Linked DNA regions of Arabidopsis thaliana. The protein of the gene in region 1 purifies or fractionates together with the protein of each later gene. This does not show direct contact. Each region holds a gene or a part of one and is shown in the gene's direction. Other genes may lie near its edges.

Evidence for each region. The genes of interacting proteins can lie anywhere in the genome.
Region 2: the proteins of MCCA (region 1) and MCCB fractionate together in Arabidopsis thaliana (co-fractionation; one large-scale study listed by BioGRID). This does not show direct contact.

What each region holds. Positions count from the first base shown.
Region 1 is NC_003070.9:735,763-746,363, forward strand, and holds MCCA (methylcrotonyl-CoA carboxylase alpha chain), read left to right. Parts: upstream 1-3,781; 5' UTR 3,782-3,952; coding exon 3,953-4,288; intron 4,289-4,361; coding exon 4,362-4,483; intron 4,484-4,592; coding exon 4,593-4,740; intron 4,741-4,857; coding exon 4,858-4,995; intron 4,996-5,207; coding exon 5,208-5,303; intron 5,304-5,385; coding exon 5,386-5,445; intron 5,446-5,746; coding exon 5,747-5,839; intron 5,840-5,921; coding exon 5,922-6,033; intron 6,034-6,183; coding exon 6,184-6,288; intron 6,289-6,418; coding exon 6,419-6,555; exon of another isoform or gene 6,556-6,739; coding exon 6,740-6,974; intron 6,975-7,059; coding exon 7,060-7,220; intron 7,221-7,327; coding exon 7,328-7,441; intron 7,442-7,538; coding exon 7,539-7,784; intron 7,785-7,857; coding exon 7,858-7,954; intron 7,955-8,052; coding exon 8,053-8,057; 3' UTR 8,058-8,263; downstream 8,264-10,601. Other genes in the region: NET1D (kinase interacting (KIP1-like) family protein), read right to left, coding at 1-1,319, 1,471-1,570; AT1G03100 (Pentatricopeptide repeat (PPR) superfamily protein), read right to left, coding at 8,264-10,601. UniProt on the Arabidopsis thaliana protein: Biotin-attachment subunit of the 3-methylcrotonyl-CoA carboxylase, an enzyme that catalyzes the conversion of 3-methylcrotonyl-CoA to 3-methylglutaconyl-CoA, a critical step for leucine and isovaleric acid catabolism.
Region 2 is NC_003075.7:16,299,387-16,306,331, forward strand, and holds MCCB (3-methylcrotonyl-CoA carboxylase), read left to right. Parts: upstream 1-1,640; 5' UTR 1,641-1,911; coding exon 1,912-2,154; intron 2,155-2,235; coding exon 2,236-2,355; intron 2,356-2,519; coding exon 2,520-2,954; intron 2,955-3,052; coding exon 3,053-3,143; intron 3,144-3,231; coding exon 3,232-3,473; intron 3,474-3,551; coding exon 3,552-3,716; intron 3,717-3,802; coding exon 3,803-3,877; intron 3,878-3,954; coding exon 3,955-4,086; intron 4,087-4,220; coding exon 4,221-4,277; intron 4,278-4,359; coding exon 4,360-4,563; 3' UTR 4,564-4,713; downstream 4,714-6,945. Other genes in the region: DJ1C (Class I glutamine amidotransferase-like superfamily protein), read right to left, coding at 1-23, 252-329, 433-612, 702-851, 964-1,164, 1,257-1,511; MBR2 (RING/U-box superfamily protein), read right to left, coding at 5,252-5,383, 5,698-5,841, 5,918-6,016, 6,361-6,411, 6,543-6,945. UniProt on the Arabidopsis thaliana protein: Carboxyltransferase subunit of the 3-methylcrotonyl-CoA carboxylase, an enzyme that catalyzes the conversion of 3-methylcrotonyl-CoA to 3-methylglutaconyl-CoA, a critical step for leucine and isovaleric acid catabolism.

The sequences.
Region 1 (10,601 bases):
CTCATGACTTTGATTCCCCAGTTTCTCTAGTAGACCATCCAGTTCAGAGTGAAGATTTTGATTTGATCTCTCAAGCACAACACATTTTTCCTCTGCAAATTTTAACTTAGCAACTCCATCCTCTATTTCACGGCTGAGCCTTTGAGTTTCTTCTTGAGCATGAAACAGCTTGAGCTTTAAATCTGCAATTGTGTCCAGACATTGTTGGTATTGGAGTTCGTAAGCTTCATTCTCTTCAATTAATTTGGAAACCTTTTGCTTCAAGCTTTCAACTTCACCCTCAGCATTTTCTGCCCGCTGATTGGTTAACCTTGAATCTTCCTCAGCCTTGTGCAACCTCTCTTCCAGGTTAGATATGGTTTTCAAGCATTGTTGATATTGAACAAGAGCAGCTTCCTTGTCAGTTTCGGAACTAACAAGGCTTTGCTTCAGTGCTAGAGTTTCAGCTTCGGCTCTGTTGGCTCGCTCATCTACTTCTCCAGCCTCCTTCTGGGCTAGAGAAATGCGATCCTCCAAATCAGCTATGTTTTGCAGACATTGCTGATACTGAAGAAGGCTGGACTCCTTTTCAACCTCTACTTTGCTGAGGGATTCTCTGAGCGTTTCGACCTCAGCTTCGGCTCTTGTGGCTCGTTCAATAAGCACCCTAGAGTCCTCTTGTGCACGAGATACCTCAGACTCCAAATTAGACAGTTTCTCCAAATTCTGATCAAACTGAGCTAAGCTAGCTTCCTTTTCAGCCTGCACTTTAGAAAGAGCATCTTTTAAAGCCACAATTTCAGCCTCAGCTTTGCTTGCGCGTTCAGATTCTGAAAGAACCTTAGCATTTATTTCTTTTCCATCAACATTATTGAAATTCAGTCCTTTCCTTGCCTTTGCAGTTTTAAAACCTTTCCCGCTACTCACAGACTGAGGGTCTTCCATGAAGGCTATATTGCGCTTAACGGTACTCAAATGAGAGGAAGAAATCCCAAAAGCACCTTTTCGTAAATCATCTGGGTAAACAGGAGCTCGGATAGGTGGATAACTGTCAGGCGTTTGTGGATCAAAACCATCGGTGGAAGAACCGAGAGGTGACTCCTCACCAAACATCATAGGGTCTTGGTTTGGGAAGGCTTCAGCCATAGTCTGCTGAGCATGACGAATAACACCGGTGGCATGATCGTATCTTTCAGCCAAAGCACGATATGCTCGATAAAACTCCTCAACCAGTTTCATAAGCTCAGGCCGCTTCTTGTAATACATTTCCGCTCGCCTAGCAAAAGAGTCAGCATCTTCTTCAATAACCTTGATCATTTGCTTGACTTTACTATCCATATCTGTCAACAAAAATAGAAACATGTAAGCAGATCGCATACAAAGTATCTTGCATGACACAAAACTGAACTAAAAGTAAAAGAAATTTGTCACGATGGAAATGACCTTTCCCGTGGGAAATACAAGGGACGTTAAAACAAGAAAATCACATACCTGTAAGATTCTCCTGAAGCCATTTCGAGTTCTTGGGGCTTATGTGACTATCCCACCACCAAGAATAGCGTTTAGAGTTACCATTCACAACAGCAGTCATTTTTCCCGGCAAAATCACACAAAAATTATGAGGATATTAGAACACTCCGGAACCAAGTCTCTCTCAAAGCCAAGTACACCAAATTCCTCTGTAAAAAAATCCTAACTTAAGAAGACGAAGAAGAAGAAGAAAATAGCAAGGGTTAAGCTTTGATAATAATGAACAAGTTCAACAGTCATATAAAAGACAAATACAGAAGAAAACAAAAGAAAAAATAGAAACGAATTACCACTAAGTCAATGAAGGCCAAATTCGAGACAAAAATAATTAACTAGCCAAATCCAGTAGTAACCTGGTCAGAAAACATATCAAACAATTCATTACAGATGAAAAATTGGATCAGCATAAATCAATTCGTCTTTGGAAATTAGACGAGAATCCTAGGGAAGAATAGCAAGTGAAACCACATGATCTTACAGGAATTAGAGGTTATAGTAACGCACTTAGTCGGAAACTGAAATTAGCTACACAGGTTAAATCTACAAAGCGAATCTAACACTAGTGAAATCAGGTCCAAAAGCAAGAATTCTGTGAGGCTTACCGGAAATAATACTTGTACTACAAAAATCAGAAATCTTCGGATCAGCTTTCGCTTTCACTTCTTCTTCTTCTTCTTCTTCTCATCTCATTTTCTTCATCTAGATCTCTCTCTCTTTCTCTCTCCAGGCGTTTTTCAGCTCTGGTTCCTACTTTTTACGTTGTGAAGAAGAAGAATTGTTTAGGTAAGCTTTTAAATGACGATATTACCCTCCAGTACAGTTCTCACAGATGTTCTGTTTCATTATTTTAATTCACTTGTTGCGTGACTTTGCCTCCTTGGGATCGCCTTCGCTGCCAACTTAAAAAAAAACACGACTTTCATGTCCGAAAGAAAATATTCTTTTATCGAACTACAACTAAATACAGTATGACATTTTATTTGATTTCTTTATTTTTCAATCTGATACTTCCCATTTACCCCTGATTTATATCAAGTCTGCAGTTCACTTTTTCTTTTTCTATACCTGTCTGCTCAAGAACTAAAATGATTTTGTAATTTTAATACATTTTATTATCCGGAATAACAAAGTATTAAATCACGAAAGATGATTTAAAAAAAAAAAAAAAGTATTAAATACTAGTAATGATAAGGAGGCTGACAAGAGATAAGTGACAAAGACAGGGAGGTCTTGGACGGTGAGCTCTCGGTCCACTTTCGTCACCCTTTGTTTTTTTCTCCACGTTCGCTTTTAGATTCGACTTATTGCGATCTTGCGTGTCAAACTTTTTCCAATCATCTAAAAGTTGAGTCGGAGTTAGAGTTACGTTGTTCATAACTTTTATTTAAACTTTGCAAGAAAAAAGTATATACGATATATGGTGGCTTATCGTTATGTATCATTTCATTCAGCTTTCTAAAATTTATAATTTAAAAAATAATATTATAATTAAGATTAAAAACGATAAATTCAAATTTAATTGACTGAGAATGTTTTTGGTGTTTGGTATGCATTACTTGTTTGACACAACTTATATATCATCCTTTATTTGTTACTCAAACGAAGATTCACGAAACGGACAAATAAACTATCCACCTATTGGGAACAAATAGGTTGTCTGACTTTTAAGCATCACAAACGGTTATATACTATTTTACATAAACGTTTCGAGTGTGTTAAGATTCATTTAATTGTAAACTAAATAATCAACAGCGTGACTTCAAATCAAATTGTCTTCTTATAAGTTTATTACTAACATATATTCTTGTTCAGTTTGTTGCCAATATTGAATTAATTAAAAGGATTGTGTATATTTTCCTTAATTGTATTGTTTTTTTTGTCGGTTATAGAAATGCAAAACAAAAAGAAATGAATAGAGGAGTCAACACTCAACAGCCACTACCTAACAAACACTTTTAATAGTTCCAGCTCGTATCGTTTTTCATGCCTCCAAAGATTAATTATGATTTTCAAAATCATTTATAACTATCCCTCCACATGTCTTTAATAGTCAAATTGATCTTATATTAAAAACTCTATATAGTAAGACCAAGTGAATTTTAAAATTACATCAATGCGATTTATATGGATGATTCAAAAGTATTTATATTTCAAAACTGAAACAAGGCCTTGCAGCCTTTCTTAATGCTTCGTGCAGATAGGCCCATTAATAAAACAATAAAGCCCATACTTGTAAAATCAGGTAAAGACGCAACGCAAGCGGCACATCAGACACATATCCATTCCGACCAAACCATGATAAAGTATATGCCACGTCACTATTCATCGTCGATTAGTTTTTACGAAATTGACCAACATACCCTCGTTGTTTGGTTTTATCTACAACGCAGTTGCTGAGTCACACTTGTTTTCTTCACTCGGAAAATTCGAAAATCGAGATCAAATGTCGATGATGACGGTGTGGGCACTTCGACGGAATGTTCGTCGGAAAAATCACTCGATGCTCGTGAGATATATTTCCGGCTCCGCATCGATGAAGCCTAAGGAGCAATGTATTGAGAAGATTTTGGTGGCGAACAGAGGCGAGATTGCTTGCCGGATCATGAGAACGGCGAAGCGTTTAGGGATTCAGACCGTTGCGGTTTACAGTGACGCTGATAGAGATTCGCTCCATGTGAAATCTGCAGACGAAGCGGTACGGATTGGCCCGCCCTCGGCTAGACTTAGTTACCTCAGCGGTGTGACTATCATGGAGGCAGCGGCTCGGACTGGTGCACAGGTATGAGTTTTGATCCCCGAAAAAGAATAATCGTGTTCTTGTAGCTGATGTCTTCTTTGAATTATATAACTAGGCAATACACCCTGGCTATGGGTTCTTGTCAGAAAGTTCTGACTTTGCCCAACTCTGTGAGGATTCGGGTCTAACATTCATTGGACCTCCAGCATCTGCTATTAGAGACATGGGTGATAAAAGGTACCATTACAGGCCTCCTATTACGACTTGCTTCTTCTTTGCACAAGTTGTTATTTTATTCTCTCTTGAATAGTTTCTGAGGACATGTCCCTCATGTGTATTTATGAAGTGCATCCAAGAGAATTATGGGAGCTGCTGGAGTTCCTCTCGTGCCTGGATATCATGGCCATGAGCAAGATATTGATCATATGAAGTCAGAAGCTGAAAAGATTGGATACCCTATAATAATCAAGCCAACACATGGAGGTGGGGGGAAGGTATGTTATGATATACGGCATTGATTTTTTCCAATAGATGGCTTTTTGTAATAGTCAAAGTTTGATACCCTTTTAAAATCTATTGGTTTCGAAGCAAAGTAAGCTCTTGTTTTTTAGGGAATGAGGATAGTGCAAAGTGGGAAGGATTTTGCTGACTCGTTTTTGGGTGCCCAACGTGAAGCTGCTGCTTCTTTTGGCGTTAACACTATTCTTCTCGAGAAATACATTACTCGACCGAGGCATATAGAAGTCCAGGTAGTGAGTCGTGAAATTTCATGTTGTTTTTTTTTTCATGAAAGGCTGGTTATGGCGCATTGAAACCCAGTTATTGTATATAGAAAGAGGACAAATGTTAACCTTAACTTGTATTTCATTTTTGGCGTACTCATTGAGTAACCATTTCTGGCTTTTCTCCTTTTTTTCTAGCATTTTAACTAATTTTGCTTCGGTGTTTCCACTGCTTTTAGATATTTGGTGACAAACATGGAAATGTTCTTCATCTATACGAAAGGGATTGCAGTGTGCAAAGAAGACACCAAAAGATTATTGAAGAAGCTCCTGCGGTAATGACCATATTTCTTTCTGTTATTGATTCATATCTTTTCTAGCATAAATGGATGTGGGTCTGATTGAATACTGGTGCAGCCTAATATATCTGAAAAGTTCCGCGCAAACTTAGGCCAAGCTGCTGTCTCTGCGGCACGGGTATCCCTTTAAATCCTGCTTTCATCTTTTACAGATTTCATGGTCTTCAGTGAGAAAGCTTAGCCGAAAATGTTTCATTACAATGCTCTGTATATTGCATTCATTCATAGTATGCTCCGGGTGTCTCTATTTTATATAGTGCATTACTAATATTGATCATGAGTTATTTGATCAAAGTTTACTATTGTTAATGTTTAGTTCAATTGATATGTAGTCTTTTGAAACCTCTTCTTGCTAGGCTATCTTTCACTTCAACTTCCACAAGAAGCGCTTATATTCTGTTACCTTCTGATATTTAAAGGCAGTTGGATATTATAATGCTGGGACGGTGGAATTTATAGTTGACACCGAGTCTGATCAATTTTATTTTATGGAAATGAACACCCGTCTACAGGTGCTTCTTTGATCTATATGTTTATTAAATTTAACTCGATAAACATTTGGCTTTCCAAAGGAACACTGATGATCCTTCTTAGGTCGAACATCCTGTAACTGAGATGATTGTTGGTCAAGATCTTGTGGAATGGCAAATTCGGGTTGCCAATGGGGAACCTCTCCCCTTAAGCCAATCCGAGGTGCCAATGTCAGGTATGGCTCTTCCTCCTAAAAATAAATGGAAAATAGTGGTTTGGTTTACTCTCATTCGCTATTCCGTACTGAATCCATGATTTTTCAAGATGTTACTTGTGGCAGAAAAAAATCTGAACAACATGACCCACATATGTATCTTCTTGGCAGGTCATGCCTTTGAGGCCAGGATATATGCTGAAAACGTTCCAAAAGGATTTCTTCCTGCAACTGGGGTCCTCAATCATTATCGCCCTGTTGCAGTCTCACCATCAGGTGAAGTACAAAATTGTGTATACAACTGTTTTTTCCTATCTTATAGAAAGTTTTTTTTTCTCTCGTATATATCTGACCCTGTTTTTGTCCTGTTGTTTACCTCTCTCATGTTGGAATTTGTCTGAAACAGTTCGGGTTGAAACTGGAGTTGAGCAAGGAGACACTGTTAGCATGCACTATGATCCTATGATTGCAAAGCTTGTTGTCTGGGGAGGTAATCGTGGCGAAGCTTTAGTGAAACTGAAGGATTGCTTGTCTAACTTTCAGGTAGATTCCCTGAGAACCTGTATTTTGGAGCTCTCTGCAATTTTAATTATACCTCAGCATAACTATAAATCTTCAAGGCCTTATGGTTCCATTGTGAATTTCTTGAGAAACCTTTTTGAGTTTCTCGCACATCGCTTCTTAGTTACCACAATAGTTCAGTAATTACATGGTATGTTGTTGACAGGTAGCAGGTGTACCTACGAACATAAATTTCCTTCAAAAACTTGCTAGTCATAAGGAGTTTGCAGTGGGCAATGTAGAAACTCATTTTATTGAGCACCATAAAAGTGATCTATTTGCTGACGAAAGCAATCCAGCTGCAACAGAAGTGGCATACAAGGCAGTCAAGCATAGTGCAGCATTGGTGGCTGCTTGTATCTCCACAATCGAGCATTCTACTTGGAATGAAAGTAATCATGGTCAGTTCGCATGGGTCTAGTCTCTTCTTCACAACTTACATGATTCCCGAGCATGTCTTAATTTATTATGTGTAAACTCATCCAGGGAAAGTTCCATCGATATGGTATTCGAATCCTCCTTTTAGGGTCCATCATGAAGCCAAACAAACCATTGAGCTAGAATGGAATAATGAATGCGAGGGAACTGGCTCTAACCTCATATCACTCGGTGTAAGATATCAACCAGATGGAAGCTATCTCATTGAGGTTTAAAACTTCACATCCTCCTTTTAGATTCACTTTTAGACTCATATACTTCATTTATGAGTCTTATAATTGGAATTCTTATGGTTTGTCAACATTCCACGAGACAGGAAGGCAATGATTCTCCAAGTTTAGAACTCAGAGTAACACGAGCAGGAAAGTGCGATTTTAGAGTTGAAGCGGCCGGATTGAGCATGAATGTTAGTCTAGCTGCGTACTTGAAGGTAAATCATTAGCATTATGTTCAAGCAACTCTTAACAGCTCTCATACTCTTTCTGTCTCTCTCGTAATTGCTGCTTATGATGTATGTTTGGTTACAGGATGGTTATAAGCATATCCATATATGGCATGGTTCAGAACACCATCAGTTCAAGCAGAAGGTAGGAATCGAATTCTCTGAAGATGAAGAAGGTGTCCAACACAGAACCAGCTCCGAAACATCATCACACCCTCCAGGAACCATTGTGGCCCCCATGGCTGGTTTGGTAGTCAAGGTCCTTGTCGAAAACGAAGCCAAAGTAGATCAAGGTCAACCTATATTAGTCCTAGAGGCAATGAAGATGGAGGTTAGTATATAAACATCTTCATATACCATAATATAAGAAACATTTAAGTAATTATCGTTTTATTCTCGTTCAGCACGTTGTGAAAGCACCATCCTCTGGAAGCATACAGGACCTCAAAGTTAAAGCAGGCCAACAGGTTTCAGATGGCAGTGCTCTATTCAGGATCAAAGGTTAGTGGTAATTTAGTACCAGCATTTTTTCCTTTATACATTTCATATCATCCTTTTGAAAATTTCATCCAACTCCACCAATTTCAATATCTTTGCAGGGTAAATAACACGATTTGCGATTGATCAACCATTCGCTGGCTTACGCGAAACCTGAACTAATAAGCATTTGGGTGTGTATATAAACCGAAATCTTACAAAAGATAAATAAATCCAAAGCTTTATAAATGTTTTTACTGCCTCTATATAGATCTGTGCGGCTAGAGATTGAAGGTAACTTCTTAGTATACAAAATGGTGATTACATTAATAATCAAGATAGTCCGAGCCATTTCTTGAATACTAAACCAGCTTCTCTCTTCTTGAGCTGAGACTCGCTCTGAACTTTTGGAGCTTTGCCTTTATAAGCAGTCTTGTGATACTTCAAGAAGAGCATCCGATACTTGTACTTATCAACAAACATATTTTTTTTCTCCATCATCTCCACAACTTCATTAGCCCGGGAAAAAAACCCGCCTCTAACAAATGTATAAAGCACCGCATCAAGCAACTCCTGATCAAACTTCATCGATGAAGTAGCTGCAGCTATGGATTTCATTTCTCCCCATAACTCAGTGACCTCTGTGTATTTACTCCCAATGGCTGCATATCCTGTGACCATAGAATGAAAAGTTTGAGCATTTGGCGAATGCCCAAGACTTCTCATCCTCTTTAATGCCTTCTCTGCATCCTGCATCAAACCTTTCTTGCTAAAAAAATGGATCACATTGTTCCAATCATGAACACCAGCATCCAAACTCTGCACTTCTCTGATTTCTCTCAAGAGTTTTGACATGAGTCCCGCCTCTGCGTTTCCTTCACATCCCTTTAAGAGCTTCTCAAATTTCTGATTTCCGCCTCGTAGTATCTTCGCCTCTTTCATTTCCTTAAACACATTGAGAGCTCCATGAGTATCGTTCTGAATTACTTGAGACTGGATTAAAGCTTCATAACAGCTTGAGTCTAATTGAATCCCTGCCTTTTGAGCATCTCTAAGGAGTGATGTCACTTCTCTAGTTTGGTTTGTGTTGCAGTAAGCTTTGAGGAGCGAAGAATAAACCGAAGAACCAGTTCTTACCCCAGCCATACGCATCTCGTCGAGTAGATCATGCGCCTGATCCAACATGCCTAGAGAAATACATGCGTTGATAACATTAATCAGCATCGAGTTATCACTAGAAACAGGAGAGTCTTCATGTTCTGCCTTCAACAGAAACTTTGCTAACTCCTTCATCTTTCCACTTTCCAGGAATGCCTTTGCTAATTTCACATAAATCTCTTCCGTCGGCTGCAGAACACCGCGTTCCGAGGTAATCAATTCGACTTGTACATGCAACTTAGCCAACAATGCACCAAGAACATCCTTTGCCTCAGCTTCAAGTTTCAAAAACTTCCTGTCTCTAGAGAACTCATCATAGGGAATCATACTGTGAATAGAAACCACTCGAGTTTCGGGATTATCGTGTTCTTTAACCTCTGATCCTTTTCCAGATACTCTTTTGGTGTATAATCTACCATCATCTGCAGTATCAAATTCAAGAATGGCGGCTCCAAGTGAGTTCCTTGCTACCTTTCCTCTTCTTAGCATTTCCAAAACCATTTTCGAAGCAGATTCAAGATCCCCGAATTTTAAGTGACACATAAGCAAGCAGTTATAGAATTGCCAAAACTGAGACTCATTCAAGTTGCAAGCTTCATCTATATGCCTTTGAAGCTTCCTTAGTTCCTCTCTCCGCCCATTTCTTTCGTATATATGAGCCATTATTACTAACAAGTTAGCATCAGCTTTAACACCGATCTTCGGTATCATATCAAGAAGCTGTTCAGCTTTTCGGGTTGTCCCAAACAACAAACAACCCGCCAAAGCAACGTTCAACACCTGAGTATTAGGCTTCATCGCAAGCAAAGGTGCGTTGCTCTTCTTCCGTGGATCAACTCTGTTATTATGAAACAAATAACCAATCTCAAGAACCAACTCAGCAGAAAGATAACTTCCTGATCCCGCAAGAGACATATGAGCCAAAACCGCAGACCAAGCACTCACATGAGGATACTCTTCTGTCTCAACTAGCTTCCTCAAGATCGTTGATGCAGGAACAGCCATACCTGACTTGGCAAGAGCCAAGGAGAGATATAGAAGAGGTTCCTTCTCCAGCAAATTCTGTTTACCCTCCTCATAGGCTTGTTCCACTAAACTGTAACCCTTTTGTAGCCAGTTGGAATCAAGACTCTCAGCAAAACAAACCACAACATTGTTAACAACAGATTTTCGCGGAAACCCTTCCATTTGCATATGTTGTTCAAACAATCTCCAAGCTTCATCACATCTATGTTCATCAACTGCAATTTGAATTTCTTCATTGAGTTTAGCAGGATCTCTGGCTTGAAGCAGTATAGATCCAGAAATGCTTGAAATTGCTTCTCTTCTATGGATAGACCATACATCGAATCTGGTACTAGTACGAAACCTAGTTAACACACTGAGGTATTTTGCATTAGACAGAACAGCTTTACCCGCCAAACCATGTTGTAAAGAAGCTTGAGATTGAGTACCTGTAACTTCAATGGCGTGAATAAGAACTCCACGAAACAAAGAACTCAAACGACACTGG
Region 2 (6,945 bases), on another chromosome or scaffold:
CCGTTGGCTACCGGGATAAGAACCTGGATTTAGATGCATCATTAAAACAAGTTTCTCAGCTTTCAAACTAAAATGAAATGTTCTTAGAATCAGCTAACTTTTTCATCTTTCAAAACTAACTGAGCGTGAAAGGAGAAGGAATGGATAAAAGAAAAAACTCCATAGGTATAGAAGATAAAACCAAGATCAGTTCTCATCATATATCATGAGATTACATGGAAATGCATTGATCATAGCTTCATGCGACTTACACGAGGTGTGTGGTCTAAAGACCAGTCAATGCTATTGAACTCTTTGTTCTTAGGATTCTGGTAACCATCACGCAGAAGCTGGAGAAATGATTGGAAAAGAAGACTATGAGAAGATTGTTGCATATCGAGAAGGATAAAGAAAAGCATGATCCAGAAAAGTATAAGTGAATAGGATATAGACCAGAAACTCTTCAATTGACTTGGCTGTGGTTTCTCCGAAGAGCTGCTCCGCCAAGGAAAGAGCAAACTGGAAAGAAGTGCCGGGTCCACGGCTAGTTGTAAGCTCCCCTGAAATCTGAATGTTTGTCTTAACAGCCCAGAATGTAGGAAGCTTCCCGAAAAAAGCAGGATGTCCCGTTGTCTTGCACGATGAACTACACCAAGTTTAGAAATCAAAACATGAAGAGAAAAGATTAGTTACTAGATGACATCAAAGATTTTGATTTATACCCTCTTTCTTGTCAAAAGTCCCCATGGAAGAAGAGTAATAGCTGGAGCCATGGATATAGCCCCGTATAACCGCTTATCTTCAGCTTGTCTCTTCATGATCTTCTCGAGAATTTCACAGTCTCTTAACCTAACAGCACCAGGCATGCCTCCCTTCACAATTTGTATTTCCAGACCATCCAGAAACAAATACACAAAACCATTAAAGTAAAGCTCAAAGACTGTCCTCACTTATAGTTTATGAATCAGCAAAAGAGGAACTTACCGGCAAAGCAACTAAATCATAAACTTGATCAGCACATTTCGAGATAAGAACATCAGCAAGCAATCTGGTCCCTGAGGATCCTTCAACCTCTAGCTTCTGCTCCACAGAAGCAACAGTAACATCAGCACCAGCTCGCCGTAAAACATCAACTAACACAACAGCTTCTATTTCCTCCGTCCCATATCCAATTGGAACAAGCACCTACATAGTTTCTCAGTTATCTCCAATCTCAATCTCTCTACACAAACAAGCTGGACAATTTTAGTTATAGATAACAAGAAAAAAGGAGAAACCTTTTTAGTAGTTGCAGAAGACCCGACGCCAACATCGGAATCTAGCGTTGTTACCATACCCGGAGACATGGAAGATCTAAGCTTTAAAGTTCGGTCCCTCCTTGTTGTCCCTAGTGAAGAAGAAACTACAGAGACTGAAGAAAAACTAGGAGCAACAGTCATCGAGACACAACCCATCGAAGAGATAAGCCTTGACTCCATCAAAGTTGGACTCAGCGAAGCTATCATTGAAATCGAATATCCTAAAGACCCCATTGACGATAGCTAATGCAGCAGTCTGATAATCCCGCCGCTAGACGGAGAGTGAGTTGCGTCTTATCTACTAGTATACACTTCTTGAAGAAAGCTAAAAACGTCGTCGTATCGTTGTCTTATTGCTTGATTGGATAAAGCTTCAATTTTTTCCTCCAATTTTTGTCGAAAATGTAACATTTTTTTTGCTTTCCACTGTGAGATTGTCACACACGATTCTCTAAAGAAATGAGACGAATTTTGAAAACGATTTATAAAAATAGTATTTTTGTTTCCTTGAGCTTATCTCCTCTTTTCTCTTTGGTTTGAGATATGAATTACAGACAATCAAGTAGTCAGTCACAACAGTGTGTATAAATATGTCTTTTAAGTGAAATCGGTTTCGAGAGACAGTGAGACGAAAATGTTAAGGATTTTGGGGAGAAGAGTTGTTTCAGCTTCGAAAGAGCTTACTAGTATTCAACAATGGCGGATCCGACCAGGAACCGATTCTCGTCCCGATCCTTTTCGAACTTTCCGGGGACTACAAAAGGGTTTCTGCGTGGGCATTTTACCGGACGGAGTCGACAGAAATTCGGAGGCTTTTTCTAGCAATTCGATCGCCATGGAAGGGATCTTATCGGAGCTTCGTTCCCATATCAAAAAGGTAAAGCCATCTCATTTATCGATTGATGTCTTAATTGTTTGCAGATGAATGATATAAGTGTATCTCGGTGGAGATTTGTAGGTATTGGCCGGAGGTGGAGAGGAAGCGGTTAAGAGGAACAGAAGCAGAAACAAGCTTTTGCCTAGAGAAAGGATTGATCGGCTACTTGATCCTGGTTCTTCCTTTTTGGAGCTCTCTCAGGTTTTGTTTTGTTTCTTTGTTTGGATTTAATGCACATTTGCAATCTAGAGTTTATTGTTGATTAGTACTTGCATAAGTTAGGAAAACAAAAGAAGATTAGGGAATTGGCATTGATTAAAAACTTGTTTGATGTTGCTGCTTACTGGATATGAATATGTTTGCAGCTTGCAGGACATGAATTGTATGAGGAGCCTTTGCCTTCAGGTGGGATAATCACAGGGATAGGACCAATCCATGGACGTATTTGTATGTTTATGGCAAATGATCCTACAGTTAAAGGAGGGACGTATTATCCCATTACTATCAAGAAACATCTCAGAGCACAAGAGATTGCTGCTCGGTGCAGACTTCCTTGCATATATCTTGTTGATAGTGGTGGTGCTTACCTTCCAAAACAGGCTGAGGTTTTCCCTGACAAGGAGAATTTTGGTAGGGTTTTCTACAACGAATCGGTTATGTCATCTGATGGAATTCCACAAATCGCCATTGTTTTAGGCTCCTGCACTGCTGGTGGTGCCTACATTCCTGCCATGGCTGATGAAAGTGTAATGGTCAAAGGGAATGGTACCATATTTTTAGCAGGACCGCCACTTGTCAAGGTCAATTTTCTCAAGTTACTTTCTCTCTCTCTCTCTCTCGTTCTAGTCTTAAGTAGTTTCTTGAGAATCTAACGCTAAATGAAAAAGCTTTTGAACAGGCTGCTACAGGAGAAGAAGTTTCAGCTGAGGATTTAGGAGGCGCCACTGTTCACTGTACTGTGTCCGGTGTGTCAGATTATTTTGCTCAAGGTACATATATTCATCTCTTTCTGCAATTTAATATGAAAACAATAATCGTGTTTTAGAGTTTAGACCTTAAGATGCTCTAAGCTTGCAGACGAGCTACATGGCCTCGCTATTGGAAGAAACATTGTCAAGAATTTGCACATGGCTGCAAAACAAGGGATGGAAGGAACATTTGGAAGCAAAAATCTTGTATACAAGGAACCGCTCTATGACATAAACGAGCTTCGCTCCATTGCTCCAGTAGATCACAAACAGCAATTTGATGTGCGGTCTATTATTGCCCGGATTGTTGATGGAAGTGAATTTGACGAGTTCAAGAAACAATACGGCACTGTGAGATAATGTTATTCGCCTTATTTTGTATCCAAATGTTACCTTTTTACTTTCTTATGTGGAACTTCTTTTTGGCAGACGCTTGTGACTGGTTTTGCTAGAATTTATGGTCAGACGGTGGGTATTATCGGGAACAATGGCATACTGTTCAATGAATCTGCACTAAAAGGAGCTCACTTCATCGAATTATGTTCTCAACGTAAAATTCCTCTTGTTTTCCTCCAAAACATCACAGGCTTTATGGTAATTGTAGTGTTTGTGTTGTGTTCTCACATTTGGCTATATAAGAGTGTCTCTATCTATCTTACTTGCTCCGTTTTTGCTTATAGGTGGGTTCTAGAGCTGAGGCCAACGGCATTGCAAAAGCTGGAGCGAAAATGGTGATGGCAGTATCCTGTGCTAAGGTATGTTTAATTCTTGGTTAAGAGTCTGAGAGATTTGATTAGGATAAGCCAGATTCTAAGCTCGGGTCTTCATTCAGGTACCAAAGATTACAATCATAACGGGTGCAAGCTTTGGTGCTGGAAACTATGCAATGTGTGGGCGTGCATACAGTCCAGATTTTATGTTCATTTGGCCAAACGCCAGAATTGGCATCATGGGAGGCGCTCAGGTAAACCAGAATGCACCGAAATGTTTAAACCGAAACCAAACTGAATCAAAATGTGTTTATAATCTTAGTGTAGCAGAACAAAATTCAGTTTGGTTTTGTTTGACGTTGTTATTGGCTTGGCGAAAACTTTGCAGGCTGCAGGTGTTTTAACTCAGATTGAAAGGGCTACCAAGAAGAGACAAGGAATCAAGGTACTGAATAAAACATTCTCTAAACCGATTTCAACTCTGTTTGTTCAACATTGATGAATTTGCGTTTTTCTTTGTGATGCAGTGGACTGAGGAAGAGGAAGAAGCGTTCAAGAAGAAAACGGTGGATGCGTATGAGAGAGAGGCAAATCCTTACTACTCGACGGCGAGACTTTGGGATGATGGAGTGATTGATCCTTGTGATACCAGAAAGGTTTTGGGACTTTGTCTCTCTGCTGCTTTAAACCGTCCTTTAGAAGATACTCGATTTGGTGTCTTTAGAATGTAAACAACTTTTAACCAATAAACATTTTCAAATAAATGTATAAACTTTTGTATATGAGCTACCAAAACTGGTTGATTGTCAATGGAGGAGAAATATGGCCAACTACAACAGATCGTTGACTGGTTCGAAACTTAATTTATTTACTAATTAATTTGATTGATAACGAACAACAAAAAGGCGCTCGTGGCCCAATGGATAAGGCGTCTGACTTCTAATCAGACGATTGTGGGTTCGATCCCCACCGAGCGTGTCTCTTCCAAATACATTTTTTCCCTTTTTCACAATAGAATTCATTTACCGCAACAATCAAACGATAACGAATCAACAAAAATTACCTGAAAAATATTAAAGCTAAAGAGCAATGACACTCTCAAATACAGAATTGGTACCTCAGATTTGAGTTGACTGACAATAAACAATGACTTATCATCATAATCCAACAATTCAAAAGATTGAGTCAATTGATAGTTATTATTCTCTTCTCCTATGTAATTCAACATGATGCTTCCACACAAGGATCGATCATTCATCACAGGCCCTTCCTTGTTTCAACTCTCTCTTGATATCAATGCGGGTAAGACAGAAGCGACCTCTTACGCGATCTCTTTTTCTCCTTTTTTCTTTCATTTCAAGGATCACAATAGGTTGGGAGGAGATAGGGAAAGAGGACGAGGATGAAGGAACGGTGCTTTTATGTCGATAAAGCCACAGTCTTACAAATTGGGCAGAGATTCTTGAGCATCAGCCATTGCTTGACGCAGGCAGTGTGAAATTCATGACCACATCCCAGTGTTCCAAGATCATCTCCTTCTGCATACTCTTCCTGTTAAAAATGCATCAAGGTTTTCACATCAGCTTCCGAGTTAAAGCTGAGTATCAGCTCAAAAATGGGAATATAGATGAACCTAACCAACCCATGTTACACACATGGACGGTTTAGTGTAATGTCAAGATAAAATGTGATAAATTGTGGCAGGTTTCTATCTACGTGATAATACATTACTCCTGTTTTGGCTTGACCACATCTACTACGGTAAAGAAGTGAATTTGTTGCAAACAAACAGCCATAAGAGACAAATAAACAGGTCCAAGGAGCCGCATAAAAGACCTTGGTGTAAGAGTAATTTCATGTCTTACCTGACAGACACAGCAAGGCTCCATGTCCTGGTGAGAGCCAGCAGCGGATGATGTATGTTTGTGCTGTTTCATTACTTTCAGGATCACCTCTTCGCTTAGACCAGTGCTCACATCTCCTATGCGTTCCCCAAGTGCCAATAGCTCCTACATTCCCAAACGAACCATGTTTAAAAAAATTGGTACATAGAGATAAAATGGTAAAAGAAAAATGAACACTCACCTCATATGACATGTTATCAACATCAAGACGCATATCCCGATGCCTATCATGCATCTCGGCCATACCTTGGTAGATCAGTGGATCGAATACCATATAATCCTATCAGATCACCAAATGAAAAATCATGATCCAAAAATAAAATGCTATTGGGGATGAACTTGCACTACGTTTTGTTTATACAAATGCCAATAAGATATGTTGATAGAGAATTGCTGCTTCTCACTACGTTTACTACAATGTGAGACCAATTATATTAGCAGCAGTAGATACGATACAGCTAAAAAGATGGTACACAACTTAGATGTCGACAGAGATCACATATAGTATACCAACATTCTGAAGATCTAAAACTAACACTTGAAGGCAAAAAGTGCGATGTGATTTTACCTGTTAACTGTAATTAAGAGGGAATGATTGAAATCAGTTATGTGACAAAATCATACCTCAAACCGTAAATTCTCCCCTCTTCGCATGGCACTCAACACCTGCCGTATCTGCCAATAAACAAGAGAGTACCAACTGAGTGACTGACATTACTAGTATCAGCAAATACCATCAACAAATAATTGACTTCCACTGAGACAGATGCCACATCAGCTAAAACTGCTAAAGAGTTCATACAGACCTCGGAAATCAGCCGGTTCCTTCCATCATTATCAGCAGCTAAGCTTCTTCCTAAGTGACGCAAATGGAGATGATCATTTTGCCTTTCCAGTAATAATCCCGATCTTCTTTGTCGAGAGCGATGACTACGACTACTAGATCCAGACGGCGCTGCAGCTTCATTCGAGGAAACAGAAGGCCCTGTGGGTAGTAATGGAAGAGAAGCACCATGAGTAGCAGATTCAGATTCGATACTAGGAAATAAAGACCACGGAGCAACTTCTGATATTCTTGATTGATTATGGGGAGTAACCCAAGTGGGATTCGGCTGCAAACCATGGATCCCTGAACTCGATCCTGCTCGAGGAACAAAGGGAGAATCTCCAGATGTACTAGGGTTTCCACGAGTGAAACTCCAACAAAAC